4 linked regions of the Tamandua tetradactyla genome follow. The protein of the gene in region 3 purifies or fractionates together with the protein of the main gene of each other region. This does not show direct contact. Links are inferred from orthologs where the notes say so. Each region holds a gene or a part of one and is shown on either strand. Other genes may lie near its edges.

Region 1 (7,936 bases), on a different chromosome or scaffold from region 3:
GTTCAGAACCACTGACCCCAGAAAGGTCTTGGGAGACAGCTGACAGTTAAGTCTCTGGGTGTCAGCCGGGCTTGCACTTGAGATCAGAGTACTCCTTGCACTTCCCTCACAATTGACAGGGGCCAGCTGCTGAAACAATAGAGGCCTTGTGTGAGCCCAACCTCACCTCCTGCTCTTGAGATTCAGCTGAAATGACTGAGTGGCACTTACTTTTCCCTCTTGGCATGAGTGAAGTAGCTTCTTCAGAGTCGCCCAATTAAAGGAAAGAGAAAAGTTCTTGCTTTGAGATGCCGCCTGGGGAAAGGGGTAAATTCAAAAAAACAAACAAATACAAAAAGCTACCCTGAGCTACTTACTTAAGATTTTTGCAGAAAGCAACCATATTTTAATGGTTTCTATCCTGATCGTGGAGGTGGTATGATTTAAGGGTTAAGAGCATGGACTCTTGGAACACATTTTTTGACCACCTACTTTCTTTTGCTGAAGATACATACCCTCTTAGCAAGGGAAATTGCGTGAGAGGGATTTAATAAGGAAGACTTTCTTAACAGAGGGAGGGGAGAGTGTTGCTAGTTGCAGCATGACTGAGGAAAGCTCTAGAACTGCCTTTGCTAAGGATATCTAAGGTAATTGCCATCTGTGTGAGAGGTTTCTGCCCTGTGTGAAGATAGGTCTAGTGATGACAGAGCCTCCTACTATCCTTTTCAAGGATAGATTCCCATGATTATGGCCTCTGCTTTCTGTAGTTGAATGTTTTGGGGGAGGTATATTGTTTTTGAGGCTGTCTTCCTTCTTTTTACTGCAGTACCTCAGCTGCAAGATTAGTTTCAAGGTAGTTAGGTTGAGGTGGTGGGGATGTAAGGGTATGGGAGGAGTAAGACTGGTAGTATGATCAAGAGAAAGAAAAACAGTCACCACCCTCTAATTCCTGATATTGGTAACTATTGTTTTTGTTGGTGTTCTAGTTTGCTAGCTGCCAGAATACAATATACCACAAACGGAATGGTTTTTAAAAGGGGAATTAAATAAGTTGCTAGTTTACAGTTCTAAAGCCCAGAATATGTCCCAATTACAAGTCTATAGAAATGTCCAATCAACGGCATCCGGGGAAAGATACCTTGGTTCAAGAAGGCTGATGAAGTTCAGAGTTTCTCTCTCAAGTGAGAAGGCACATGGCAAACACAGTCACAGTTTCTCTCTTGGCTGAAAGGGCAAACAGCAAGCAAGGCAACATTGCTAGCTATCTCTCTTGGCTTCCTGTTTCATGGAGCTCCCTGGGAGGCTTTTTCCTTTTTCATCCCCAAAGTTTGCTGGCTAATGGGTTCTCTGCTTCTCGTGGCTCTGTCATTCTTCTCTGGCTCTCTCTGAATCTCCTTCATTCTCCAAAATGTTTCCTCTTTTAAAGGACTTCAGAAACTAATCAAGACCCACCTGAATGGGTGGAGACATGTTGTTATGTAATCCACTTTAACAACCACTCTCGATTAAATCACATCTCCAGGGAGATGATCTGATTACAGCCTCAAATGTACAGCATTGAATAGGGATTAGGAGAAATGGCTGCCTTTACAAAATGGGATTAGGATTAAAATACGGTTTTCTGGGGTACATAATTTCAAACCAGCACAATTGGGAACATTTTGTTTTGTACATCTTGTTTGCAGAGGCATTGCAGCAGGTTGTTTCGGTTTGCTAAGACTGCTAGAATGCAATATACCAAAAATTGGTTGGCTTTTATAGTGGTGTTCTATTAGTTTTGCAAATTTACACTTCTAAAGCTATGAAAATGTCCAAATTAAGGCATCAAGAGGAAGGCTGCTGGCATTGGGGTTTCTCTGTCACATGGGAAGGCAGATGGCCAGCATCTATTGGTCCTTCACTACTGGGTTTTGTTGCTTTCAGGTCCTGGTTCCAATGGCCTCCTCCCTATGTTTCAGTGGGTTCTCTCTTAGCATTTCTGGGGCATTTCTCTCTAAGCTCTCTCTCTCTCTCACTGTTTCTTTCTCTGAATTCTCTGAGTTCTGTCTTTTATCCTCAGAAAGGAGTCCAGTAAAGGATTAAAACACAACTTGAATTGGGTGAGTTACATTTCAATTGTAACAATCTAATCATAAGGTCCCACCCATAATAGGTCTGCCCTCACAGGAATAGATGAAAAGAAACTGAACTTTTCTGGGGTACATAGCTTCAAATCAGCACATAGGTGAACTATGTACCCCAACAACATGTGTTCTTAATCTTAATCCACTTCCCTGTGGGGGGTCAATCCCTTATAAACAGTATCTTTGAATATATTAGGATGAGTCAGGGTGTGGATTCATTTGTGAAGAGGACCTTTCAAAGTTCTATTCAGGTGTGATCAACTTAATAAAGGTAGACCTGTTACTGGACAAAGGCAGTGGATTCTTTTGTCCCATGTGCTCAAATGACCAATTCCTGAGACACCAGGGTTTCAAAGAGAGAAAAAGTTTATTACTAGGTGCATAGCAGGAGATCAGATGGCCTATTGGCCCAAAAATCTGTCTCTCTCAATTGCAGTAATTCTGACAGTTTCATAGTATTAAAAGATGGGCAGGTTTTAACATAATGAGTAGAATGGCCCAGACGATGTGATTAAAGGTGATTCAATTATTGAGCATGCACAGATTGATTACATGCTTAGTCACAGGGCATATGTAAGAAAATGGTGGCCTTAGTATGATGATGGCCATGATTTTTAGTATTATAATGAGGTATAGGTGGCTTATAGATTTAAAAATTTAAGATTTTAAATGGGCACATGTCAGGTGGGCCCATTTTGGTTAGATCCACTTAAGATAAATTTGGACTTGGAGTGGGTTAGTTCTGAACTGACCCAGGACCCTTCAATAATAATTAGGGGCTGTCTTAGTGGTCAAATGCCTCTAAATTGAAAAACTGGATAAATGGGTATAAGTGAAGATTAGTCACAAGGGTTTTACAATCACAAGGGCACAAGATAAAGGCTATATAGTCATTATCACAGATCAAGGCAGCTGGATTACAGATTACAACTCAAAGATTTCAGGTATTTCCCTCTGTCTACTCTACTACACCAGAAAGCAAAAAGGAACATCTACACAAGAATTCAGTAATCATAACCATCCCTTAAATCCGAATTTCTGAGCTACAGATTTTAATCCAGATCACAATAGTGAAAAAGGAGAGGAGATCGCTGTGTGACTGGAAATTAGATATACAAGCCTAAGGATTTCCAGCAGCCAGTCCCAGAACAGATTACTAGGAGAAAGCAATCCTTGCTGATATTTTGATTTTGAACTTCTGGCCTCAAAACTGAGTCAATAAATCCCTGTTGTTTAAGCCAATTTATTGTGTGGTTTATGTCAGAGCATCCTGGCAAATTAGGACAGGCAATGACAGTACAGAGTAAAAGGCTATGGACTGTATTTTCAAGAATGTCTGTATAGTAAATAAACTTGGTAAATAGTGAAGAAAGAGCAGTGGGCCAGTTTGTTTACTGTCCAGTATAATAAAGATAATTTCTCTCTCAGGAGCAAAGGTCAAGTAGGTTTGTTTGCAGCCCATTATAAAAGATTAAGGTTCTCCAAACTTGGGGTTCCTTAGTTGAGATGCCAATCCACAGTATTTACATCTACCAGGGCCACACTGTGTTATTAAGAAGGCCTTGGGGCCCAAAAGGAACCTACTTAAATTAGTTCATGACGCCATGAGTAATAAAGTTCTTGTAAACCAGGAATCTCATTTTGTTGCCAGCATCCATGAAACTGTGGCTGGCAGGCTAACTCGTTAGCTTTGCAAGCAGGGTACACTTTCAGTCTCTTAAAGCTCTTCTTACTTTTTTTTTCTTGCTAACTTAAGTAAGAAATTTATTAATTTTGTTGATCTTTCCAAAGAACCAACTCTCAGCTTTGCTAACTTTGTCTCTTATTGTGGCTATAGTTGTCAGTTGAATTATATCTACATACATTATAAATCCAGGCAGAAGTTATATTGCATGGGGAAGAGGAAGTAGCAGGAGACCTGGGTTTTAGTTAGTCCCTCCCCTTCACTACCAGACTCACTTACCTTTCCACAAGGGAGACTACAGAAAAAAAGGGAGTAAAGCTGAATGTGCCCTCAGAAGACATCCAGTCCAACTCCTTTATTTTATGACTAAGTAACTTGTCCAACTGACAATGTGGCAGAGCTGTACAGCCAACTCCTGACTTCTAGTGTTGTTTGTTCTGAGTCACACTACTCCTCCTTGAACAAACATTTTCATGTATTAGGCATTGAGTATATTTCCTATTCGGTACCCTAGTATTGATTATTGTCTACTTTCTTTCCATCCCACTTTTTTTTTTTCTGACTATTTTAAAAATGGCCCTAAAAGGTAGGGGCTTAGGGGTTGGGGCTGTGGAAGCCTGGCATCCAGCACCTACTGGCATGACCACAATCAGTAGCTGGTCTCATGGTGACGATATAAGGAAGACAGTATTATGTTCCTTATCCCGGATAATCCGGGTGTATAAGCGAGTCAGCAAGGGGCAAGGCTGAGGTTCCGGAGGAGGAGGCTTTTGTTTTTCCAGTGACCCCACCACCAGGGTAAAGGGAGGAAACTCTTTTCTATGCATGATGCCTACGTAGTCGATTTCTGCTGTGGTGACTTGGCGCCCAGGGCATCCGGCCAAAGTCTTCCTCTGAATTCTCCACTCCAGGCTTTTCCTCCGTCCAACAGAGAGATATTTCTACCTGGATTGACCTCAAAATGGTCCTTCCCACCGCTTCTGAGGGCCTATAACCCCCAGTTACGGTCTTTCCCCGCCCCTGGCTGCGCTGGCAACCCCAAGGCCGGCAGGGTCAAGCTTTTAGGGTACTGCCACGCGAGGCCTCCGGGAAGACATCCAGCCAATCCACATGAAGTATACACGAGCCCCAGCCAATCAAAGTCCGTCTTATTCCTGCCTACCGCCCGCTCTGGCCCTCTTTCCCTGCCTCTCTTCTCGGGGCTTGTTAATCGGCGGCAGTAGTTGCAGCGGCCGTCGGAGCTCAACCGACCTTGGGGACGGGCACTCCTGGCGCCTTTTGGTCTCTTTTGCTGCGGTCACTGAGAATGAGTCCCTGCGCGGCTGTGTGCCGACTCGGCGGAGATCACTGGCGCAGTTTCATCTAGCGACTGGTGAGAGAGAGGTCGGCGCGGCCCGACTGTGCGAACCAGGCTGAGGGGACTAAGCTCCTTCAGCCCGGGGGCGACGGGAGAGAATTCACTTTCTCTAGGGTGTGGGTGACGGCGGACGCCGGTGGCGCGGTGGACTGCGGGAAAGGGACGCAGCGGCGCCGAGCCTGCCGGGCTTGGCGCGGGCGGCGCAGGGCTGGCCAAGTGATCCTCCCTTAGTTAATGAATGGCCTGTTCTGAAGATGTGCTACGTTGCACGCTTGCGGGACACGCCCTCCAAGGATGTTGCGTTCCTAGTGTCTTAGTTGTCAGGTGTCACTTGCCGTTTGAGCCTTGGACTTGAAGGCATTTTTGGAGCTACCGGTGTACCGTATCCAGCCCCCCCCAACCCCTTTCTTGGGGTCACAAAGTTTTAGTCCGTTCTAGGAACTCTGTGTTTGAAAGCAGGTCATGAACTCTAAGCTAAATATGAATTAACTGTGTGAAAAGGGACAGGTCCTTTTGTTGGAGGTGGGGAATGCGGAGGGAGTAGAGACCTTTTGTTCTTGTATCAAGCAGAACTGTCAGATTAAAAAAGTTTTAGTTAAACTTTGAAATTGGTAACCGAAGCCATCCTTGATTCCTGTTTTCCAATGTAGTTCATGAAACCGGACGGATATTTTCCAGAAGCAGAGATTGATGTACCATTCTTTCTTATGTCCCTTGGGAGGGCGTTTGATATTAGAAATTTGTCAGAAATACAGAAAGAATGTGACTTTATGAATGGTAGTGTTTCTGTGCCCATAATTTGGTTGGTGCAAATTCGCGTGCTTACCTTGCCCCTTCTTGAGGATCATTCCACTCCTTTTTCTATTTTGAAATCCTTGATTTTCATTTGTCTTAGAAATAGATTTAAAAAGTTAGGGCAGAAAGGATTGTTTTCTAAAGAGAATTATTATAGATATTTGAAGAAATTTGTCAAGCCAGTTTACTTCAAGAAATAAAAAAAAGAACATACGGTTGTGTTCCATTATTGAAAAAAATTTATTTTCAACTTGTATTAAGAGCTTTCAGTATGTTAAATTAGATATAAGGAACTTAATTATATTTTTAACCCTCATTATTCTTTTGGGCCATACCATAAAGTTCAGTAGACCTTAAATGAATGTACCTGTTTTACTTTCCTAGCAAATACCATTAAATGGGTCTGGTTAAACAATGGAAATTCATTTGCTTATGGTTTTGAGGCTAAATCAAGACATCGTCAGGCTGTGGTCTACATAAAGGAACTTAATATTACTTTGTTAATTATTATAAATGATACAGAAGTTTAGTTTGCTTTCATAAATGGGTCAATAATTCTTTGTCACATGCAGAATCTGCTTGTATCCTAAGAGTTGGCACTTTTGCTATTGTAAAACAGGATACTTGACTGATAAAGTATTGAGACAAAGTTTCTGTCTCCTGTACCCAGAGAGTATCTGAGAACCATTAGAAAAAATATAATATTGATAGAGCTATTTATTAATTTCCTAATGTTGTAGATGCTTGTAGTTTAAAATTATGTAGACTGTTTTTAGGGCTTGTACAGAGAAATTAAAAAATTTTGATTATGAGTTGCTGTAATTGGTAGCATGTCTTAATTTAATATAGATACACATTTATAAGGAATTTTGATGTAAAGAGCTTTTTTTTTAAAAAACTACATATATTTTATGAGAAATATGAAGAATTATGACATTTTTCCCATCTCAAGGAGCTTAAATTTGTAAGCAAGGTACATACTTACAAGGCAGATCATGATTGCCAGTATTTTGCAGGTGAAGAAACTGAGGATCAGGGTGATTAAAGTTGACTAAGGTTTAAGATAGTGTGAACCCATCTTGTGACTACAAATATGGGTAAGATTTTCTATTACATTATTCTACTTCTCATTGAAGAGTTCCTGACATTATATTGAGATAGCAGTTTGGATTCAGAAGAATAGAATCTAGAGTACTTTATGTTGGTGTGATTTTGGATAGGCTACTTAAATTTTCACATCATTTTCCTTGTAAAATGAAGGTAATCATATTTATAGGGACAATAATGAATCTGAAATAAGGATGAAATTAGTTAATTTTTGCAAGGCATTATGCTTATCTATATCAAAGTTCCATTGATGGTAGATATTTTGTTTTTAAGGCTTAGAGAAATGATAGCCTTCTAAAGATCTGGGTGAAAAGCTTCCAAATAGGAAGAACTATAATAAAAGCGTTTTTTTTGACCTTTATACCAGTATGTCCCTTTTCATCCTTTTCTTAACATTTTTTGGATTCTTATCATAATAAATGAATTTTCTCATTTAATTTTCAGAACAACTCAGGAGACAAACAAGTGATACCCCTTTTTTACAAATGAGAGAATTGAAGCTTAGTGAAATTAAGTGTTGGGTCAGGGTCACTTAGCTGGTTAGTGGTCTAGCTAGGTTACTAGCTCAGGTGTTCTCTGAGTTCAGAGCCTGAACTTTATATATCTCCAGGCTTAACTGGAATCTTTTTCCTGAGGTCACTAGGCTATTATTACCTCATGTGATGCAGATATTTTGGTCGTGGATGTATCAGGGAATAGCATGATGATATGAGCATTGAGGAATATAAGTGAGCTCTTAACCAAGGATAAGTAGGATTTTGAGCCATTGTTGTGGGCTTAGATTAAATTGGCTAAAATGTGGCAAAACAGTAACACTTCATATTCATCATGTGTAAAACATAATTTTTCACTTTTTAATCTTTATTTATTTGTGCCTTAATTGGGTTTTTT
Region 2 (7,042 bases), on a different chromosome or scaffold from region 3:
CATAATTGCCACACACAGAAGCAACCCAAGTGTCAATCAACCGATGAATGTATAAACAAAATGTGGTATATACACACAACTGAACATCATAAAAAAGAATGAAGTCCTGACACATATGACAACATGGTTGAACCCTGAAGACATGATGTTGAGTGAAATGAGCCAGACACAAAAGAACAAATATTGTATAATCCCACTGATATGAAATAAGTGATCACAGTCAGAATTTACATTATAGGTTTACTAGAGGTCAGGGCAGGGATGGGAACAGGGAGTTGTTTTAGTTTTCTAGGCTGCTTAAGCAAATACCATGAAATGACAGCTTAAACAATGGGAATTTATTAGCTTATGGTTCTGAGGCCAGGAAAATGTTCAAATGAAGGCATCATCAAGGTGATGCCTTCTCCCCAACACTGTGGCACTCTGGGCCTGGCTGTCACTGGCTGTTGGTCCTTAGCTCATCATGTGGCAAGGTACATGGCAGTGTCTCCTGGTCTCTCCCTTCTCTTAGGCTGCACTGACTTCAGCTTTTTGCTTCCATGCCTTTCTCTCTTATGTATGAATTCATTCCATTTATAAGAACTCCAGTAATAGGATTCAAGACGTATTCGAATTGAGATGGGTCACGCTTTTACTGAAGTAACCTCATCGAAAGGTCCTAGTTACAATGGATTTATACCCAAAGGAATGGATTAGATTTAAGAACATGTTTTTCTGGGATTCATACAACTTCAAACCACCACAGGAGTTAAGGCTTAAAATGATGGCAATACTTGGGTCATGGATGGTGGTGATGGTAGCACAATGCTGTGAATATAATTAACAGCACCAAAACACATACTTGAATGTGGCTAAAAGGGGAAATAGTAGGTAGTAAATACAGTAATAAAAATTTTTTTAAAAATCCATGAAATAGCACTACACAGTGAACCTTACATTAAAATACTGACTATAGCTTAATAGTACAATTACAAAAATGTGCTTCCATCAATTGTAACAAATACACCACACCAAGGCAAGGCGTTAGTAGTAGGATGGTATATGGGAATTGCTTTTTTAATGCATGATTTGTTCTGTACACCCACAACTTCTCCAAAAGGATGAAAATACAGGGGTGGGGGTAGGGTCATGTCTGCATCTGGCTATATACACTTTCACCAGGGGCCTGAATTAAACAAGAGAAGAACCCAAGTACTGTGGCATGGTCTACCTGTAGTTTCCATTTTGCCAAGTTCACAAACACTGCATAGTTTTCTTACCTTTCTTTACAAAGGTGCTGATAAATTCATGTGTAATTAATTCATAAAGAGGTAAATTCTTCACAGAGTAATAAGGTCCAGTTTCCATGACCAGGTTTTTAAGTTCTTTTGATAGTATCCCACATTCAGGAATTAGAAATGAAACCTATTAGAAAGTATAATATAAACAAGGTCTTATTTTCATGCAGTCATGCCCAGGTTCTTAAGGAAAAAAACTGCATCATGAAAGCTAACTACTCATTTATAGGTTTCTGGGCATGAAACTCTTAAATCACCAATTTCAGGGGAAAAAAAAGATATTTGACAATTCAGGGTTTTTGTTTCTGCATTCAAACATACAGTATAGGATTGAGACAGAGCAGAGAATTTTTAACGCGAAGGTATGGCTTGCATTTTAACTTTTGCAAAGTATTTTATGTCCTGTTCCTTTCATTACTTTAATTCGTTTTTGAGGAAATACAGGACAATTGCACATTCCTTGATTTGTTTACCCTGATAGCATCCTGGAATCAAAGGCAATGACCCTCAAGGTATAAGGATTTGGGGCCGTCCAATGATCAAGATTACATGGAAGTAAAGCGTCCCTCCATGTTTCGATTTTCCACAAACAGAAAAAGCCAACAGATTAGACCCTATGTGTTAGGATTCACGCCCTCAATACTGTTTGTGATGCTCTTTCCATCCAAAGGAGAGGATGTTAAAACTCGACAGATTTCAAACATCACCCAAGCGCTCCACAAGCTGAAAGGCTCTTTCCCAAAGCTCTAACGCCAGTCAGTTCCGGGCGCCACCACTCAGGTCTCTGAGTGGTCAGTCAGGCCTCACTAGAGATTAAATTGATCGATTTAAACTGTAAAATATTTAAACCGTTATCCTCTTTAACGGTTGGTGGACTTTTTGGCCGCCTCTCCGCTTCATCGGGTTAGTGGAAAAGGACCCACCAGACACTCGCTTGGAAATCTGGGTCGCTCTCCTCTACTCTCCGCACATTCTGGACAAGCCAATAATTCACCTCCCTGATGCCTCACGGCGCCCCGAGAGGATGACATGTTAGCTAGAGGAAGCAGAGCGCAGCAGGCTAAACGGAAAGTTTCTGGGATCTCAATCCGACTCCCGGATAAAAAAAGAGGCTGCTTTCTGGGCCCGAGCTGGCCACAACGTTCTGGAAAGAGCCATAAGCGTTCCGGCGGCGGGGGTATGAAGCAAGGGCACCAGAGGCACCCGGCCGACACCACGCCCTCCTACCCCGGCGCCCGGGCCACCGCCTCGCATCTCGGGGAACACAACTCCACGTGGGCCGGTGGGGACCTGAGCAACGAGCGGGAGGGTGAGGCCGCGCACTGCTCCTCGGCCCCGCCCCCCACGCCCAAGGCATCGTGGGAGTAGTAGTCTTCACAGACAAGCGAGACGCGGTTCCGAGGAGACGACGGAACGACGGCTCCCAGCCTGCACCGCGAGGACGGCCCCGCCCAGGACCGCCCAGCCCAGCGCGGTGGCCTCTCCACCACACCGCCCACGGAGATCGAGAGGGGATTCCGAAGGCCCGGGTCAGCGACTCACCCTGTAATTGTGGTAATGCGTCTCCACGAGGTGCCGGTGGCGTGACTTTTCGTGGCGGAAGTTGGATTTCTCGCAGACCAGCAAGTGCCGGGGCACCTCTCGAATCCCGCGCAGGGTGGCCATCCTCTCCGCGATTCCGGAACGGCTCTTAACTAGCCTGAGTCGTCGGACCGCCCCACCCCGCCGCCCCGCCTCCTCGGGCATGCGCAGTGCGGTCTCTCGGCGCACGTGGCGAGCAGAGCTTGTGGGTGGGTGCAGCTTGAGTGCCTAAGTACCTGGGACCTTTCTACGTGTTCCTTAGGTTCCCTCCCCTCCCTGCTCTTCTGCCTCTTCCCGTCCCCTCCTCCCCCCCTTCCCTTTAATTAAAAGCGTTGTGGGTTTACAGAGTAATCACGTATAAAATACAGGATTCTCATACACCACTTCATTTGTATTGGTTTGGAAATTGATGATACTGCTTTTTTGTAATTGCTTTTTTTTTTTGCAGTAGTTACATTTGTTAGAATTGATGCGAGATTTAAGTAATATTAACTATTGTCCATAGCTTATGTAGAGGTATTTTTCCACATATTTGCAACCTATTATTTTTTTCATGTGTTATTACTCATCAACCATTACACTGGATAAAGGGGGTGTCAGTGACAAGGTTTTTGCACTCACATGGTCATAAGCTAAAAGCTATGTAGTCATAGGGACATCAAAGATCAAGGCTACTGATTACAATTTAACAATTTCAGGTATTTCCTTCTGGCTATTTTAATGTACTAGAAACTAAAAAGAAATGGCTACATAATGACTTAGTAGTCATAATCATTTGTTAAATCCTTTCTCGGTTACAATGCCTCCCTCTCATTTGATAGTTCTCTCAATCTTCAGGAATATCTGGAAATGGCCATTCCAACTTCTTCATGCTGAAAAGGAGTGTTGACATTGCGGGATAGAGGAATGAAATGGTTGATGTTCTTAGAGAGACTGGTAGCTATGGATTTCAGGGCTTGTCTAGCATAAAAACTATCTGCGGGCTTTAAGATTCTGAAAAAAAAAAAGGAATTTAGAGCCTAGGGTATTCTTTAGAGTTTTCAGGCATACTGTTGGTTGGGGCTTGGCCTACTGTGGCAATTTGCAATAACTGGCTGAAGCTTGCGTAACACTAACCTCCAGCATGACCTCTCAACTCTATTTGAAATCTCTTAGACACTGAAACTTTATTTTTTCTTTTCCCCTTTTGGTCAAGAAGACATTGTCAATCCGATGATGCCAGAGCCAGGCTCATTCTTGAGAGTCATGTTCCATTTAGCCAGGGAGATTTATACCCCTGGGAGTCATGTCCCATTAGCAGGGAGGGTAGTGAGTTTATTTGCAGAGTTTGACTTAGAAAGGCCACATCTGAGCAACAAAAGAGGTTCTCTTGGGGTGACTCTTGGGTGTGTTTATAAGTAGGCGTAGCTTACCATTACAGAAATAAGTTTCATAAGGGCAAGCCTCAAAATCAAGGGCTTGGCTTATTGAATTGGGACCCCTTAATGCTTAAGAGAATATCAGGAATTCCCCAGATGGGGAAATCTAACATTTTTCCTCCACTGTCTCAAGGGACTTTGCAAATACTTTTTTCTTTACTGCCCAAAGTACCTGGGATCTTTCTGGAAGTTCCTTAGGTTTCTTAAGAAGCCATGCATAATCACCCTGGTGGGTTTCTGGAACCATAAATTCACTGCCTTAAATGGAAATACTTGTACTGGGGAATTGGAGCTTGTCTATTATAAGCAACTTTTTCCTCCATCCCTCTGGGTTGATGTCTCTGGACACAAATCCCTTCCATGTACGTCTGGGACATCTGGCTGGCTGCAGGCTGAGATAGGCTGACAGAAAAACTCATGCCCTGGTCAGGCCTGCTTAGGTAGGCTACTCAGTGCCACTATCATAAAAAATGTGGGGAACTCAAAGTGGAAGTCCAACTGAATTGTACAATTGAGGAAACACTGCACAGTTAATTGGCCTCCAAACCTGTTTGGGTGACCACACTCATGCCACATTTCTGGCACAGTATGGCTCACACCTCATTATCCTGTTGTGTATCTCTTAGCTATAAATAACACATGAACAGGGTCAAGAGTTTCTGTTGATCCTTTCAAAAATGTTAGGAACACCCACTGTAGTTTGAAGTATATATGATAACAAGCCCATCCTGCATTTCCCTCTTGCAGTATGTCTCAGAGTTTTATCCTACTCTTTCTAAACACTTCTAATAATGTGTAACTATTGATGATTACACTGATAATTCTGCCATTCTCCATTTCATTTTTCTAATTAACTCCAAGTTCTACATGACTACAGCTACTACATATTGCTCAAGCTGCAGTGTGCACAGCCCAGATTCTTTGCAAAACAATATCTGTGGTGCATCTTCCAAGAGTATTCATTTTACTACAAGGGATGAAAGAAAAGATGTTAAGTAATGGCAAGCTGAGTAATTAATAAGTTAGAACTAAGACAAGCCTGGAAAGTCATCTGCCATTAAGGTCAGTACTCTGTGCCTGAAAAATCAGACTTTCCCAGAGAAAATGGCAAGGAGAACCTATATCCCATTGCTTAAAGTAGGAAAAATTGTAAGGCCTAACAAATCAATGAAAATCCCCAACCAATTTCCCAAATCATGTGTGGCACCACGATATGTTATAAATAATATCGTGTCAGGATAGGAAATGTTTAAAGCATTGCTTCCTCATTGCCTTATGTGCTGATTTGAAACTATTGTGTACCCCAGAAAAGCCATTGTTCTTTAATCCTCATTCAGTATTGCTGGGAGGGATCCTTTTTATTGTTTCCATGGACATGTGGTCCACCCAATTGTAGGTGGTAAATTTTGCTTAGGTGGTTTCCATGGAGATGTGTCTGCATCCATTCAAGCTGGGGTTGCTCACTGAAGCCTTTTAAGAGGAAACCATTTTGGAAAAGGCTTTAGTGCTGGCAGAGATGCATAAAGAAAACTTTCCCCAGGGAAGCTGCATGAAGAAGCCAGTAGAAAAAGTTAGCAGACATCACCATGTGCTTTCCTAGCTGAGGGAGAAACCCTGAACTTCATCTGTTCTTTCAATGAAGTTAGGGTATCTTTTTCTGGATGCCTTTGTTTAGACATTTCTATGGCTTTAGACTGTAAACTTTCAACTTAATAAATTCCTTTTTTAAAAACCATTGCTTTTCTGGCATATTGCATTCCAGCAGCTTGTGCAAACTAAAACACGTTATGTTTTTTTAATAAGCAGTTGCTTTGTGTGCAGTTGCCAGGCCTCATTTATACCAGCAACATCAGAGAGGTATGTCTTCTCTCTTGAGTCTCCAAATCTTTGCAAATTGACTAGCATGATTTGAATGTTCTACCAATTGTATTTGGAATGCAACATGAAACTTTCCCAGCAAACCATTTAATTTTAAATATTCTCTTAAGTTTTATCTATACAAGCATCAACTGAATAATATATTGGGAGATAAATATCTGCTTGGCACTAAACACTCGTCCAGGAATATTGGGAATGTGTTTTGTGGGTTGTGCCTGCATTCTGAAAGAGAAGGCAAAAGTCCCATTTATTTTAAAGATAAAACTGTACACTTAAGTATATTTGGGGCTGAGGAGTCCTTTCAGGCTATGTCCCCTGAGTTCTATAGTTCTGTGTCTATATGATCCCTTGCTAATATTGTTCGTTTCTCCTTCCTTACTAGATCATTTCCATCTGCATGTTGTGCATTAAATGAAACAGACCTCCTTGCACTCCCAATTCCTTTCCATTTACCATACTGTTTCTCAAGCTACCTCCCCTCACCTTCTCTCTGAACACATTCCACTAGAACTTTCCTCCTCACTACTTCACTGAAATGGTTTTTATTGAGGTCATCAGTTACCTCCAATTTGCCAAATCCATGGTCAAGTTTTGTTATTGTCTCAGACAACCTTTCAGCTGCATTGACGCAGATGATACAGTTGTCCCACTTCCTCCTTCTTGAAACACTGCTCTGGAATTTCAAGAGACCCCTTTCTCCTGGCTACCCTCCACTTCCTCCACTCTTCTTCCTTCTGCCCTTCCTCCTCCACCAGATCTCTGGATATCTCAGCCCTTTTTTCTCTTCTGTCTACCTCTGTTCTCAGAGTGATGCCACACAATCTCACAACCTTGAAAACTGTCCATATGTTGATAAAACCCGAGGGTGCTTCATTCTCTCCCCTAAGA
Region 3 (5,971 bases):
GGCCCAGCCAGGAGGGCCTGACCCTTCCCAGCCCCCAGCTGCTCAGGAGCAGCCCTGGTGGCCCAGCTAAGCGAATGAAGGAGTTAGGGTTATTCGTCAGTTCATTTAGTTCCCAGTTCAGTTCATTTAGTTCCCAGTTCACCTCTCACCGAGCCTGAGACAAAGAAGGCCCTTAGGGTGTTATATGTGCTTCCTTCATCCTCAAGCCCTCCCATTTTTGGTGTCACCAGAGGAGCAGTGGGAGGCTTCCCAAGCATACAACTGTCACTGTTGCATTTTATGGGGCAAGAGTGGATGCTTATCTGCCCAGCCTTCCTCTAAGAATGAGAAATTTTAAAGCAAACGCTGGGACTGTCAACCTCTGCAGTGCCCTAGACCATTTAAGGTTACCCAGACCCTAGGATGATCTACACTGTCTGTGAAGGCAGAAAACATTCAGGTACCCCCTCCTGTAGCTAAATACTTTGCGTCTCCTACCCTCCCTCCTCTCCAGGTATACACAGAGAAGAGACACTGGCAGTGAGGTGGCAGGACACTAACAAGTTAGCACTTTTTATTGCAAAGGGCAATGGTTCCAGACCACACACAGACTCCGGAAAACCCACTGCTGGGATCCAACAAGAAGCAACACCCTCCTCCTCATTTTGGAGTCCTCTGGGGTGAGAGGGGCCAGGCGTTTTCCTTACACGGCTCTGGCAGAGGTCCACGACAGTCCAGCCTCATTTCAATTACTTGGGTGTGACCCTGAAGACACGGATATGGATGGCAGAGTTGTTGCGGATGCGGGTCAGCGGCTCGCGTGCATCAGTCTCTGGTTCCAGCTCGTCGACGAGCTCCACGGTGGAGGTGTTGGCAGCCACCTGCAGGGCCCCGAAGCTGCCCGCCTGCAGCTGCAGCGCAATGTTGATGGCGCGGTTGATGGCCAGGCCCAGGCCGTGAATGTAGATCTCCGTGCAAGCGTTCTGCCCCCGCGCCCCTCCGTCTAGCAGCTTCTGGCAGCGGGCCAGCTGGGCCTTGAAGTCGGTCTTCATGTTGACGTAGATGTCATTGGGCCTCCGGGGCAGGCGGTGGGGAAGCCGCTTCCGAAGGGTGTACTCCACCGGGTCCAGTTCAACTTCGACCGTCCCGCGGGGCACTCGGTTTTCTGCCATGCTGGGGGCCCCGGCTTGGGAAAGAGGTGGGGTCAGAGAAGGGTCAGAAGAACTTCACATCCTTGCCCACCCCATTTCCAAAGGATGCACCTGGGAGGGGGCGCATACGACGTTCCTCCTTCCAGCCTCTCACCGCTCCCCTCACTCCCTCAAGCTCCCGCGTGCCCCTCCCCGCTAGTTCTTCCTCGTCGCATCTCCCCCAAATGCATGTTCCCCCAACCTCAGGCCCCTCCCACGCGCCCCCGCCCCGGCTCTTCCGCGCCTACTCTCTCCGTTCCACAGGGCCCTCCACGCGCCCCAGACAGGCCTCGGAAGGGCTGCGCCGGCCGGCCCAAGAGGAGGGCTTTGTCCGCCACCCCCAGACTCGAAAACAAGAAGAGAAAAAAAGGGGCGCGCCACAGATACGTCAGATCGCAGGCGGCTCGCCGGCGCCGAGCTCCCGCAAAGGCTGCAGAAATGCGCAGGCGCGCCCCCACCGCCACGCCCCACTGCGGCCAGGACCGCGCGATCCACGAATCGCCTTCCCCGCTCGGTCTTCCCCGCCCCTTTCCTCAGCGACCGCGTGACCCCGCGAGGGGTTTGAGTAACGCGATGCTTCCGGCGGTGAGGGGACCTACCACGTGGGCGCCCCGGAGGCGGGGCGAAGAGAGAGGAGGAGCATACCAAGTCCCTGCAGGGGAGGAGCTAGCTCCTCCCAGCTCCGGCGAGTCCATGTTCCCGGCCCCCGCAGGGATCCTTACTCGGGGGAGGAGGAGAGGCCCTTCGAGTGGCGCGGAGGGTGGGGGGTCTTCCCAAGGATAGCAGGGAGGGGTTGAGGGTGAATGCAGGAGAACGACATCCCAAAAGGGCCTGAAGGCAAGTTGGGGCTCCCGCGTCCATCGCCGTCCGTCCGGCTAGCAAGGCGTGGGCAGAGTGGGCAGAACGGACCTCCCGCCCCAGGTGGCCCCGTAGTCCAAAGACGGAGGGAGGAATTGAGGGCCCAGGTCGGTCTGCACCTCGGCGAGGACAGCGCCCCGGGACCCGTCCCTCCCTCCTTACGGGCCCAACCCATGAGCAGTAAGTCCAGCCTTCGCTCTGATGTAGCACTCGCGCTTGGGGTACCAGGTCTGCTCCCCCAGGGCACGGTGACCCACCCACACCCCTCAGCCCCAGCCCGCCAGCTCTTCCCCGGCTGCTTGGAACCCGAGAGTAGAAACGCGCGCCCCCTGGCGGGCAGGGTGGGGTGGCTACCCGCGCAGGGTTCCGGGGACCCCAAGACCACTGGGGAGGAGTTTCCCACCCGGGGAGGGAGGAGGGGGATCTCTGCCTAGGGCTGTGTAGCTTCTGGAGCGTTCCCGGCAGACAGAGCACGGATAAAGCGTTAGACCTGCATTGGAGACCTTGAACTTGCCGCTTGAATTTCTCCATTACCCAAAAGGGTGATAACTCCTAAAACTAGATTGTACTGGAAACTGTCAATCTGAAAACCGTAGGCCTACACACGGGAGTTGGCATATTTATGCCCCTTGGGCCTCTTTCTGGTTGCCTGGGGTTGAAAAGAAGAGATCGGTTTTCTAAGAACTTTTCTCTGAGCCCGATTTCAATCCTGTAGTTCTCCTTTGCCTCAGATTCTTTGTTTAACCCCAAGCTTGGGGTTTATGCCATAGAGGGCAGGGAGGAAAGGCTGGCTCCAGAGCTTACATTCCTAACTCAGAAGTGTTATCTGATCTAGGTTTTGGCAGATAAATAGGAATTCTTCAGGGAACCTAGAACTAAAAGTGCATTCTAGAAATGCTGAACAGTATTAAAAACAGAAGGAAGCATAATTTAAACTTCTGCCTCAAGAAACTAGAAGGAAATAATTAAAATAAGAGCAAAATAAACAAAATTGAAAACAAAAACAATAAGGAAAATCAATTAAACCAGAAGCTAGTTCACCGAAAAGATCAATAAGATTGATAAAATCTAGCAAGACTGACAAAGAAAGAAAGCAAGAGAAAGACACAATTATGATGACCAGAAATAAAAAAACTAATGGCACTAATGAGAGGGCACTCATACTCAGTATGAGTGAATACTGCCTACTAAGGGAAGACCACAAACAATGCTACGCACGTGAATTTGACAACTTAGATGAAATGTACTAATTCCTAGAAAACCTCAGACTAGCAAAACTCACCCAAGATGAAAGAGATAATCTAAATAGTCCTATACTAGTAAAACAATTAAATACCTAGTTAAAAGCCTTAGAAAATAAATATCTAGGCTCAGTTGGCTTCACTGATGAATTTTACCAAACATTTAAAGAAGATTCTACAAAATTTCATCCTGAAAATGGAAGAAGAAACACTTTATAACTCATTTAAGAGGCCAGTTTCACCATTAATACCAAAAACTGACAAAAACTATACAAAAGAAGAAAACCGTAGACTGGTAATGCTCCAATAATACATAATAAGGATTATATACCATGACCAAGTTGGGCCCGGGAATGCAAGACTGGTTCAGCAGAAGAAAAACAAATTAACGTTATCAATCATATTAATAGGCTAACAAAGAAAACCACATGATCTTATCAATTGATGGAGTAAAGGCATTTAATGGAATTCAACATCCATTCATGATTTAAAAAACAAACAAAACAAAAAAGAAACGTCTCAGAAAACAAGAAATATGATCAATAACATATACAAAATTCTACCGTTAACATGATATTTAAGGTGAAAGCCAAGTTTTTCTGTTAAAATCAGGAACAAAGTAAGGATGTCTTCTCTTACTACTCTTATCGGGAGTCCTGGCCAGTTTAATAAAGCAAGAAAAGGATACAGCTTGGAAAGGAAGAAGTAAAACTGACTCTACTTGAAGATGGCTTGACAGTATTCAAAAATATCCCAAGGAATCTACCCCAAAATCCTAGAACTTATAAGTGCATTTAGCAAGTCTGTAGGGAAGTAAAGCAACATACAAAATTGTATTTCCATATGTAAGCAGTGAATAATTGGAAAATGAAATAAAAAATAAAAAAATAATTTAAAAAAGCATTTACAAGAAATACTCCAAGAAAAAAAGAAAAAAAAAAAACGAAAAGAAACACCCCCCTATGCTTTAGTGTCTAACAAAAGGCAGGCTCCAGAATTTACATTCCTATGTACCTCAGAAGTGATATCTGATCTAGGTTTTGGCAGATAAATAGGAGTTCTTCAGGGACCTAGAAATGAAAGTGCATTCTAGAAACGCTAAACAGTATTAAAAACATAGAATGAGCATAATTTAAACTTCCACCTTCAAGAAACTAGTAGAAAATAATAAAGGAAATAATTAAAAGAAGAGCAAAATAAAATTGAAAACAAAAATAATAGGGTATGCATCTAACAAAATATGCACGAGGTCTGTATGCTGAAAACTCCAAAATGCTGATGAAAGAAATGAAAAAAAGATCTAAGTAAATGTTCATGTATCGGAAGATCTGAGATAATAAAGATATCGACTCCCTACATTGGTCTTTAAATTTAATGCAGTTGCTTTAGAAACCAGAAAGAATTTTTGTAGCTTTAGACAATATTTATCATCTAAATTTATCATCATTATGACTTCATTCATTCTTTACAAATAAGTATACTGTTGCAATTTGAACATAAAATTTTAGCCTATAAGTAAATTTTATTTATGATAGATCAAATAAAACCTTATTTTACTATTTAATATAGAACTTGGGCCTCCATTTTCAGTGGATTAATTTAAATCAGCCCCTTTAGGACACCAAATCAAATAATAAGGGGCACATGTACACGTGTGTGTACACAGGTATGGATATTCTCCTTATTATCTGATTTCCTGAACAATAGTTTTCTCTCTGCAAATTAGATTTCATTTGCCTTCAAGACAGGGAGTATATCTTAAACTTCTCAAGAGTTTGCCACGATATCTGTAGGGTAAGAAAGATATAAATAACAAACAGTTTAACAAAAAAATTTATATGGAAAGGCAAAGGAAGAAGAGCAGCTAAAACAATTTTGAAGAAGCAGTATCCAGTTATTGGAATCACACTACCCCCAAAAAAATAAAAATAAAAATAAAAAAATAATTAAAAAAAAAAAGGAATCACACTACCTGAGGTTAAGACTAACTATATAAATACAGTAATCAAGACATTGTGGTATTGGCAGAGAGTTAGACACAAAAATCAGTGGAACTGAATATAGAACCCAGAAAGAGATGGTCACAAGTACCACCAATTGATTTTCTTTAATGTTTTTTATTGTAAAATATAACGTATATATAAAGCAAAGAGAGAAAAATCAGTAATTCTCAAAGCACACGTCAACAAGTACTTACAGAACAGATCCCAAAGTCTCACATGAGCTACCATTCCACCATCTCAGATTTTTCCTTCTAGCTGCTCCAAAACACAAGAGGCTGGAAAGAATTTTTTCTTTAAATTTTATTAATTAAAAAAAAATTACAAGAAACAAACATTCCCAACACATACACTCAGCAATTCACAGTATCATCACATAGTTGCATATTCATCATCATGATCATTTCCCAGAACATTAGCATCAATTCAGAAAAAGAAATAAAAAGACAACAGAAAAATATAACAAACAGAAAAAAAAAAAGTTTTACAGGCCATACCCCTTACTGATCCCTTTCATTGATCACTAGCATTTCAAACTAAATCTATTTTAACATTTTCCCCCTATTATTTATTTTTATTCCATATGTTCCTCTAATCTGTTGAAAAGGTAGATAAAAGGAGTATCAGACACAAGATTTTCACAATCACACAGTCACACTGTGAAAGCTATATCATTATACAATCATCATCAAGAAACATGGCT
Region 4 (7,623 bases), on a different chromosome or scaffold from region 3:
CTAGGAAAATTGGATTTCTCCATTACAAGAATGAAGTTGGATCGCCACCTCACACAATATACAAAAATTAACTCGAAATGGACCAATAACTTAAATATAAGAGCTAAACCCATAATATTCTTAGAAGAAAATATAGGGAAAAACCTTCATAACAATACATTTGGCAATCAATTCTCAGATAAGACACCAAAGACAAAAGCAACAAAAGAAAAACATAAATTGGACTTCACCAAAATTAGATACTGTTGTGCAACAAAGCATATTATCAAGAAAGTGAAAAGACAGCCTACACAATGAACACAATAATTATAAATTATATATAATAAGGGATCAATATCCAGAATATATAATAAGCCTAGTTAAAAAATTACCAAAGGACTAGAATAACAACTCTCCAAAGATGATATACAATTTGTCAATAAGCACATGAAATAGAAGCTCAACATCATTAGCCTTCAGGGAAATGCAAATCAAACAAAGTAAGATGTCACATCACACTAAAGGGATGGCTACTATTTTAAAAAGCAGAAAATAACAAGTGTTGGCTAGACTATTAGAAACTGGAATCTTTATCCATTGCTGGTCGGGAGGTAAAACCGTACAGCCACTATGGAAAACAGTTTGGTGGTTTCTCAAAAAGTTAAACATAAAATTACCATATGACCTGGCAACTACACTCCCTAGGTATATATCCAAAAGAACTGAAAACGGACTTGAAGAGATATTTGTACACCAGTGTTCAAAGCAGGATTATGCACAATAGCCAAAAGATAGAAACAACCCAAGTGTCCAACAAAAAGATGAACAGATAAATACAATGTATTATATCCATATATAATGGAATGTTACCCAGCCACAAAAAGAAATTCTGATACATGCACTACAACATGGACAGACCTACAAAACATCATGCTAAGTGAAATAAATAAGACACAAAGGACAAATAAGTGATTCCACTTATATAAATCTCTAGAATGAGCAAATTTAGAGAGAGAAAATAATACCAGAGCTGAGAGTGGAGGGTGGGAATGTGGTGAGGTGTTACTGCTTAGTGGGTACAGAGTTTCTGTTTGAGGTGATGAATCAAGTTTTGGTAATGGACAGTGGTACACATTGTAAATGTAATTAATGCCACTGAACTGTACACTAAAAATGGTTAAAATGGCAACTATGTATATAACTACAAAAAATTTTAATTAAAAAAAAGCTTAGGTCTAAAAAATAATTGGCAAGATGCTTACTGGGGAAAACATTATAATCCACCAGCCTAGGGAGTATATTCTACTTATCCTTCCCAGAGTCAACTGTATGTATCCTTTTCTTCCCCTTAATTTTCTCCCTCTCCTTCCTGGGGCTCAGCTGAGTACCATACGGGCCCACTTGGCAAAACTAAAGGAAGTGAAACAAGCCGTCCCTGGGGAAGCCTAGGGTTTGGAACTATCCCTATTTTCAGGAAACCAGAGGACTCCTATTGCCTCACTCCAGCTCATTTCTTCTCTCAGCTGGGCCTCCTCTTCCTGTTGGCCCACACAGGATTAAGTTCTCTCCAGTTAAATTCCACTCACTAGACTGGGTACTGCTGAAGAGCAAGTTTATCTGTGAAGTGTCAAAATTTATAAAGCACTATCCCCGGGTATTGTAAATAAGATTCTCAAAACATTCCTGTATAACCATCAATGTGTGAAAAGACTCACGTTAAATACCTTGTCCAAAGTCACAACTAGTTTTCCAAATCCAAATTTTATGCTCTTTTAACCCAGGCTGCATCTCAGAAATCATCTGCAGCTTTAAAAAGCCTACAGTTGGTTGGTGACACCCATCCCTACCCCGCCTGGAGCGCCACTCACACACTTACCTCCATGACCACCTTTCATATTTTAACAAATGTTTAGGGATTCCCCACAATGCACCTGGCCATAAAGATTGAGTATTAAACACGGTAAAAACAATCACTGGCCTCCTTGGGCTTACATTCTATAAGGAAAATTTATCAAACAGGTAATAATAATAATAAACGTGGTACCATTAAGATCAGGGAACTACAGGATGCTAAGGGAACATACAGCAGAGGCCTAACTTTGTTGAGGGGGTCTAGGAAAACCTCCTGGAGGAAGTGACTTTTTCATCGACCTATGAAGAATACCTACCAAAGGCGGTATAAGTAGAAAAGGGTGGTTCCAGTAAAGAGCATAAAGGAAATGAAATAAGCTCAGCGTCGCTGCAGCAGCGACTTCTCGAAGAGGAGTGGTAAAATGAGAGTCAAGACAGGACAGTAAGAACCAGATGGTGAAGGCCCTTGCAAACCTTGCAGCGGGGAACTACTAAAACGCTTAAAAGCTTAAGAGAGGCTGTATTAGAACGGCGTTACAGAAAGATCTTAGGGGATTCGGAGCAAGGCTGTGAGAATGAATTCAGCAGTGACTCCCGCACGGTCTAGGGAAGAAATGACGATACCCTGCCCTGGACTCGCCGTAGAGGGGAAAACGAACAAAACACGCTCCCTGCAAAAATTAGAAAATAAAACCTACGCGATGTGGAGACCGCCTGGGGGTATAACCTGGGCAAGACTCAGGACAAGTCCGGGTTTGTAAATGCGGTCACGGTGGGTTCAGTTTCCTCGGTAGGTTCACTCCTGCGGCCACCGCACCTGGCACCTTTGCTCTCATGCGGGAGCCTGTGAGGCACTGTGGGCCACTCGGGTATTTCTAGAGCTCTATCCACGCTCCCGGCTCGTAGACCGCGCACAGCCCACCCGTCCGGGAGGAAGTCGCGGTCCTACCGCCGCGGAGGCCACGTGTCATCTGGCTGCGCCTCGGCGTGAGTCACAGGGAAACCCGACCCGCCGCTCCCTCTGCCCCCAAGCCTCACTCCCCGACCCGGACTCACGCTCGGGCCCCGCAACAGTCCTGCGTACGCCCTACAGAGCGAGACGAATGCGCAAACCTCAAGGCCTGCGCGAGCAAAGGACCCTCCAAGCAGCGCCCTAAGCGCCAGTGCGCAGGCGCGAGGCGTGTTTCGCGACACCCTGCTGTTGCCACGGCCAATCTCGCGAGACATGCCTCGTTACCAAGGCCTGTTTCGGCTACCCTGAGGTTACCGCGGTGACTTTGGGATCTCGGTCCCCGCTGCCGGGTGGGTTGTACCAGATGGTTTCCGGGAAGCTACTTCTCCCTTGGCGCGTGTGCGCCCCCTGGCCCCCCCGAGATAAACCCAGCGCCTTGGAGGCTTGGCCCTCGGTCTCTTTTCTCTGGGTTTGTCTCGCCTACCGAACGTAAAACCCCAGCCTGGTTGCAGAACCCCTATCAAATCGTGCCGAATCCCCAGCACCATGAAAATCAAGATAGACGGAGAGAGTTGTTTTAGGCAGTAGTCTAAGAAACTGAGAGCCCCTTTAGCTGCTCTGAGCTCTGAAACTGTAGTGGGGATCCTCTTCCTGCTGAGGATGCTCCAAGCAGCGGACATCTAATCCTCAAGAGCAAGAGTCTCTGGGAAGCCTCAGGCGTGTGGTGAGGAAGCCCAGTGGCATGCCAAGCCCTCTGATCTGAACTACATGGTCTCTCCTGAGAGCAAGAACTCAGGAGACAGGAGGTTGCGCCTAACTTAGTGAGCCTTTTCCCACTCCACCCCTTGTTTTTCTTGTCCAGTCTAACTTGGGCATCCTTTCTTTTCCTCTTGTAAATATCTTCCCCCTCTCCTCAATTGCTTCATTGCTTGATTGGTTACCATTTAGGGGATCTGTTTTCTATATTTTCCATTTTCAACTCCTACATAGTAAGTAACTGGCCATAAAGTAAACAAAACAAAATGAAAAATTGTTCTTTTGGTCAAAGACCTTTGCAGGAGACACAGGGTAAAGTGTAATGTGATTTTTAACACAATTAGAAAGATTAACAAAAACGAATTTACAAGGAATTTATGTAGCGCAACAGGCTTTTGTTTCACAAAATGAATCATCTTAATCCGTGGTTGTGATGAATTGCAAACTATGCAATCCTAAAGCAGCCTTAGGGCAGGTGTTTAAGCTGTAAGGAAATAGTACAGGCCTAACTGAAATACCACTATAAGAGGAGGGATATATGTGAATTCCCACCCCCACCCCCAAATTCAAGATTTATAGTTTGAGCATCATCTTAGCTTATATTTGCTGCATGAAGATTACCAACTCTTACATTACATAGATGCCTTCATTGAAACCTAACTTCATCAGGACTAGTCAAATGACCCTGGATGCCATAATAGCTACCTAGGAAGTGATTAAAATATACCTGATTAGAAGTGGTAATCTGTGTTAAGATGCTTAACAGCACTGGCACATAGAATGTGCTTGACAAATATAGCTGTGAGGAATCCAGTGGCAACCTTGGAAGAATTAAGTAAAAAACTCACCATGGCCTCAGAGATAGGATTGTGGGAAGATGACAGAGTATGGAGAGCCAGGACTCAGTCCTAACACCAAATCAACTATAAAAGTCAGGAATTGTATGAAGAAATTATTTTGGAACTCCAGAGGTAAGAAGAACAAAATACACCATCCAGGGAAGAGTGAGAGGAAGGAGCTGATAAATTACGGTAAAGAACAGTAAATTGTTCTCTCCAAGTGATGGCTCCTGGAGCCCCATCCCCCACCCTCACAGCAGACCACTGTGGGGTCTGGGCCGTAGCTAGCTAGCTGGTGTCACAAGGACATAAAACTCTTGCCCAAGACCAGGTGTGGGCATGGCCAATCATGGTTTTTTATTAGCGAATTTGAGTCACTAGGGACTCGGTTCTGAGGGCAGCCATTTTTCAACTAGTGATGGGCAAAACTTATGCTGTGCATCCTCAACCCTTCAACCAAAAGGATTGCATTCGTTGGGCAGGCCAGGAAAGCTCAGCTTTTGGGAGCCATTGGAGAAGTTCTTGGCACCCCTCCTTAGAGCACTTTTACACCCTCTTTGTGTGTCCCTGGTCCTGTTTTGCTGGTAAAAACTGACTTGGGAAAATACTCTTCAGGATGCCCCTCCTCCCAGAATTTATCCTCCAGGCTAAAGCAGCTTAAGACAAGGGATGCAGTGTAAGAAACTATGCAGTCAAACACTCTTGGGCAAAGGCCTGTTGGCTTCAAACACCCAGGAGAGGGAGGTCTGTCTCCTGAGAAGCAGAGGGACAACCAAACTCCTACATGTAAACAAGGAAACTCCAAAACAGCTAACAAGCAAACACCCAGGACAAGACAGAAGGCCAGAAAAAGAAAACCCTGACCACTGAATTTGTCTTGGGCAGACCTACCAGATAGGAAGGGAGGAGCTCAAGAAAATCTCAGTCTTTTCAACAGCTAGTTACAAAATCAAGAAACAGCATCTCAGGGAATAAATCCCAGAGTTAACATTTTAAAATATTAATAGGTACAGTGTGCGGGAAAAAAAGTACAAGACAAAGAAACAGGAAATGATGGCCCATCCAAAGGAAGAGGATAAAAACCCAGAAAACATCAATGAAGAAATGAGAATGTGCACATATCAAACAAAGCTTTTTAAAAAATGATCCTAAAAATGCTCAAGAGGTTGGGCAATGGTGTCACAGTGGCAGAGTTCTTGCCTTCCATGCCGGAGAGCCGGGTTCAATAGCTGGTACCTGCCCATGCTCCCCCCTGCCACCCCCAAAAAAAGATGCTCAAGAAAATGAAAAAAATATAAAGAGCTAAAGGATATCAGGAAAGCAATGAATAAGTAAAATGAGAGTCTTATTAAAGAGGTAGAACTTTTTAAAAAGAGCCAGACAGAACTACTGGAATTGAGACCACAATAACTGAAATGAAAAATGTCCAGTAGGGTTTCAAGAGCTGTTTGGAGCTGACAGAAGAAGGAATTGGTGAACTCAGAGAAAAGAACTTGAAATGATCAGACTGAGGATCAGAAAGAAAAATGAATTATTAAAAGTGAAAATAGTCTGAGAAACTTCTGGGACACCATTAAGCGCACCAATACATGCATTATGCAATAAATGCAATATATCTCCCAGAAGAAGAAAGAAAGGAGCAGAAGGAATATTCAAAGAAATAATGACAGAGAACTTCCCAAACTTAGCACATCTGAAAAGTCCAGAGATCACCAAGCAGGATAAACCTGAAGAAAAAAATCACCATCATATATTGACCACTGAATTGAAAACAAAGGAGGAGAGAGTTCTAAAAGCTACAAGAGAAAAGCAACATATTATGTACAGGGAGTCCCAATTATATTGAATATACTTTTCTCACCAGAAAATATGGAGGCAACAAGGCAGTAGGTTTAAAAACTTAAAGAGCAGAAAGAAAACAACTGCCTTGTCAAGAATTATATACTTAGACTTCCTGGAAGATGGCAACTTAGTAAGACGCGCGGATCTTAGTTTCTTCTCCAGGACAGCTACTAGGGGAGTAGAAACGATACAGAAAGCGCCCAAAGCCACAACAGAGATAAAAAAGACAGCGTACCCCATCCTGGAATGGCTGGCTGGCTGAGAGAAGCCGCTCGGGTGAGATTGCCGAGGCGCGCGGGCCTCACCGGGCGGGGCGGCAAGCGGCCGGAGTTACTCCCTTCCCCCTTCCCAGGCCGGCTGGGAGAATTGGAGAGGCAGTCCCCTGAAACCAAGGCGGCTGGCGCCCACACCACGCGCAGCCCCCTGGACCAACTGAGAGAATTGGATCGGAAATCCTCAGGCCGCGGAGAACGGTGACGGGTGGGGAGGCCCCTTCCAAACCTGTGACTCCCGGGGAACGTGCACTCTCTCGGGCGGGCCGCTGCCGCTGGCGCCCTCCCGCCACGCTTGTCACCCAGGGCCGACTAGGAAATTCGGAGGGGCTCTTTCCCGGGCTGCGGCGACCAGCAACCCTCCCTGCGTTCGGACCCTGGGCCGGCTCAAGCCGCTTCGGCTAGCGAACCCCCCGGACGGCGAGAGGTTTCCAAAGTTTAAGGTCCCACAGCACCTTTTACTGGTGGGACCCGCAGACAAACGTGTGCCACGAGCGCCACCTACTGGGCAGAATAAGAAAAACAGAACCCAGAGATTTCACAGAAAAATCTTCCAAACTTTTGGATCCAATACCCAGGGAAATCTGTCTAAATGCGCAGACGCCAACAGAAGATAACGGATCACGCTCAAATAATTGAAAATATGGCCCAGTCAAAGGAACAAACCAATAGTTCAAATGAGATACAGGAGCTGAGACAACTAATGCTAAATATACGAACAGAAATGGAAAACCTCGTCAAAAACGAAATCGATAAATTGAGGGAGGACATGAAGAAGACATGGGCTGAACATAAATAAGAAATAGAAAAACTGAAAAAACAAATCACAGAACTTATGGAAGTGAAGGACAAAGTAGAAAAGATAGAAAAAACAATGGATACCTACAATGATAGATTCAAAGAGACAGAAGATAGAATTAGTGATTTGGAGGATGGAACATCTGAATTCCAAAAAGAAACAGAAACTATCGGGAAAAGAATGGAAAAATTTGAACAGGGTATCAGGGAACTCAAGGACAATATGAACCGCACAAATATACATGTTGTGGGTGTCCCAGAAGGAGAAGAGAAGGGAAAAGGAGGAGAAAAACTAATGGAAGAAATTTTCACTGAAAATTTCCCAACTCTTATG

What was found.
Region 1: the proteins of POP7 (region 3) and IBTK purify together in Homo sapiens (affinity purification with mass spectrometry; 3 studies listed by BioGRID and IntAct, with this or other methods). This does not show direct contact. The link is inferred for Tamandua tetradactyla from reciprocal best matches to the Homo sapiens genes POP7 and IBTK.
Region 2: the proteins of POP7 (region 3) and RPP40 purify together in Homo sapiens (co-immunoprecipitation; 4 studies listed by BioGRID and IntAct, with this or other methods). This does not show direct contact. The link is inferred for Tamandua tetradactyla from reciprocal best matches to the Homo sapiens genes POP7 and RPP40.
Region 4: the proteins of POP7 (region 3) and RPP38 purify together in Homo sapiens (co-immunoprecipitation; 3 studies listed by BioGRID and IntAct, with this or other methods). This does not show direct contact. The link is inferred for Tamandua tetradactyla from reciprocal best matches to the Homo sapiens genes POP7 and RPP38.

What each region holds. Positions count from the first base shown.
Region 1 is NC_135331.1:138,996,107-139,004,042, reverse strand, and holds the start of IBTK (inhibitor of Bruton tyrosine kinase), read left to right. Parts: upstream 1-4,925; 5' UTR 4,926-5,158; intron 5,159-7,936. UniProt on the Homo sapiens protein: Acts as an inhibitor of BTK tyrosine kinase activity, thereby playing a role in B-cell development. Down-regulates BTK kinase activity, leading to interference with BTK-mediated calcium mobilization and NF-kappa-B-driven transcription.
Region 2 is NC_135351.1:7,329,756-7,336,797, forward strand, and holds the start of RPP40 (ribonuclease P protein subunit p40), read right to left. Parts: upstream 3,022-7,042; 5' UTR 2,943-3,021; coding exon 2,820-2,942; intron 2,590-2,819; exon of another isoform or gene 2,309-2,589; coding exon of another isoform or gene 2,201-2,308; intron 1,405-2,200; coding exon 1,260-1,404; intron 1-1,259. UniProt on the Homo sapiens protein: Component of ribonuclease P, a ribonucleoprotein complex that generates mature tRNA molecules by cleaving their 5'-ends. Also a component of the MRP ribonuclease complex, which cleaves pre-rRNA sequences.
Region 3 is NC_135349.1:8,780,187-8,786,157, reverse strand, and holds POP7 (ribonuclease P protein subunit p20), read right to left. Parts: upstream 1,619-5,971; 5' UTR 1,418-1,618; intron 1,166-1,417; 5' UTR 1,152-1,165; coding exon 729-1,151; 3' UTR 521-728; downstream 1-520. UniProt on the Homo sapiens protein: Component of ribonuclease P, a ribonucleoprotein complex that generates mature tRNA molecules by cleaving their 5'-ends. Also a component of the MRP ribonuclease complex, which cleaves pre-rRNA sequences.
Region 4 is NC_135333.1:47,446,414-47,454,036, forward strand, and holds the start of RPP38 (ribonuclease P protein subunit p38), read right to left. Parts: upstream 3,014-7,623; 5' UTR 2,887-3,013; intron 2,869-2,886; exon of another isoform or gene 2,529-2,868; intron 1-2,528. UniProt on the Homo sapiens protein: Component of ribonuclease P, a ribonucleoprotein complex that generates mature tRNA molecules by cleaving their 5'-ends. Also a component of the MRP ribonuclease complex, which cleaves pre-rRNA sequences.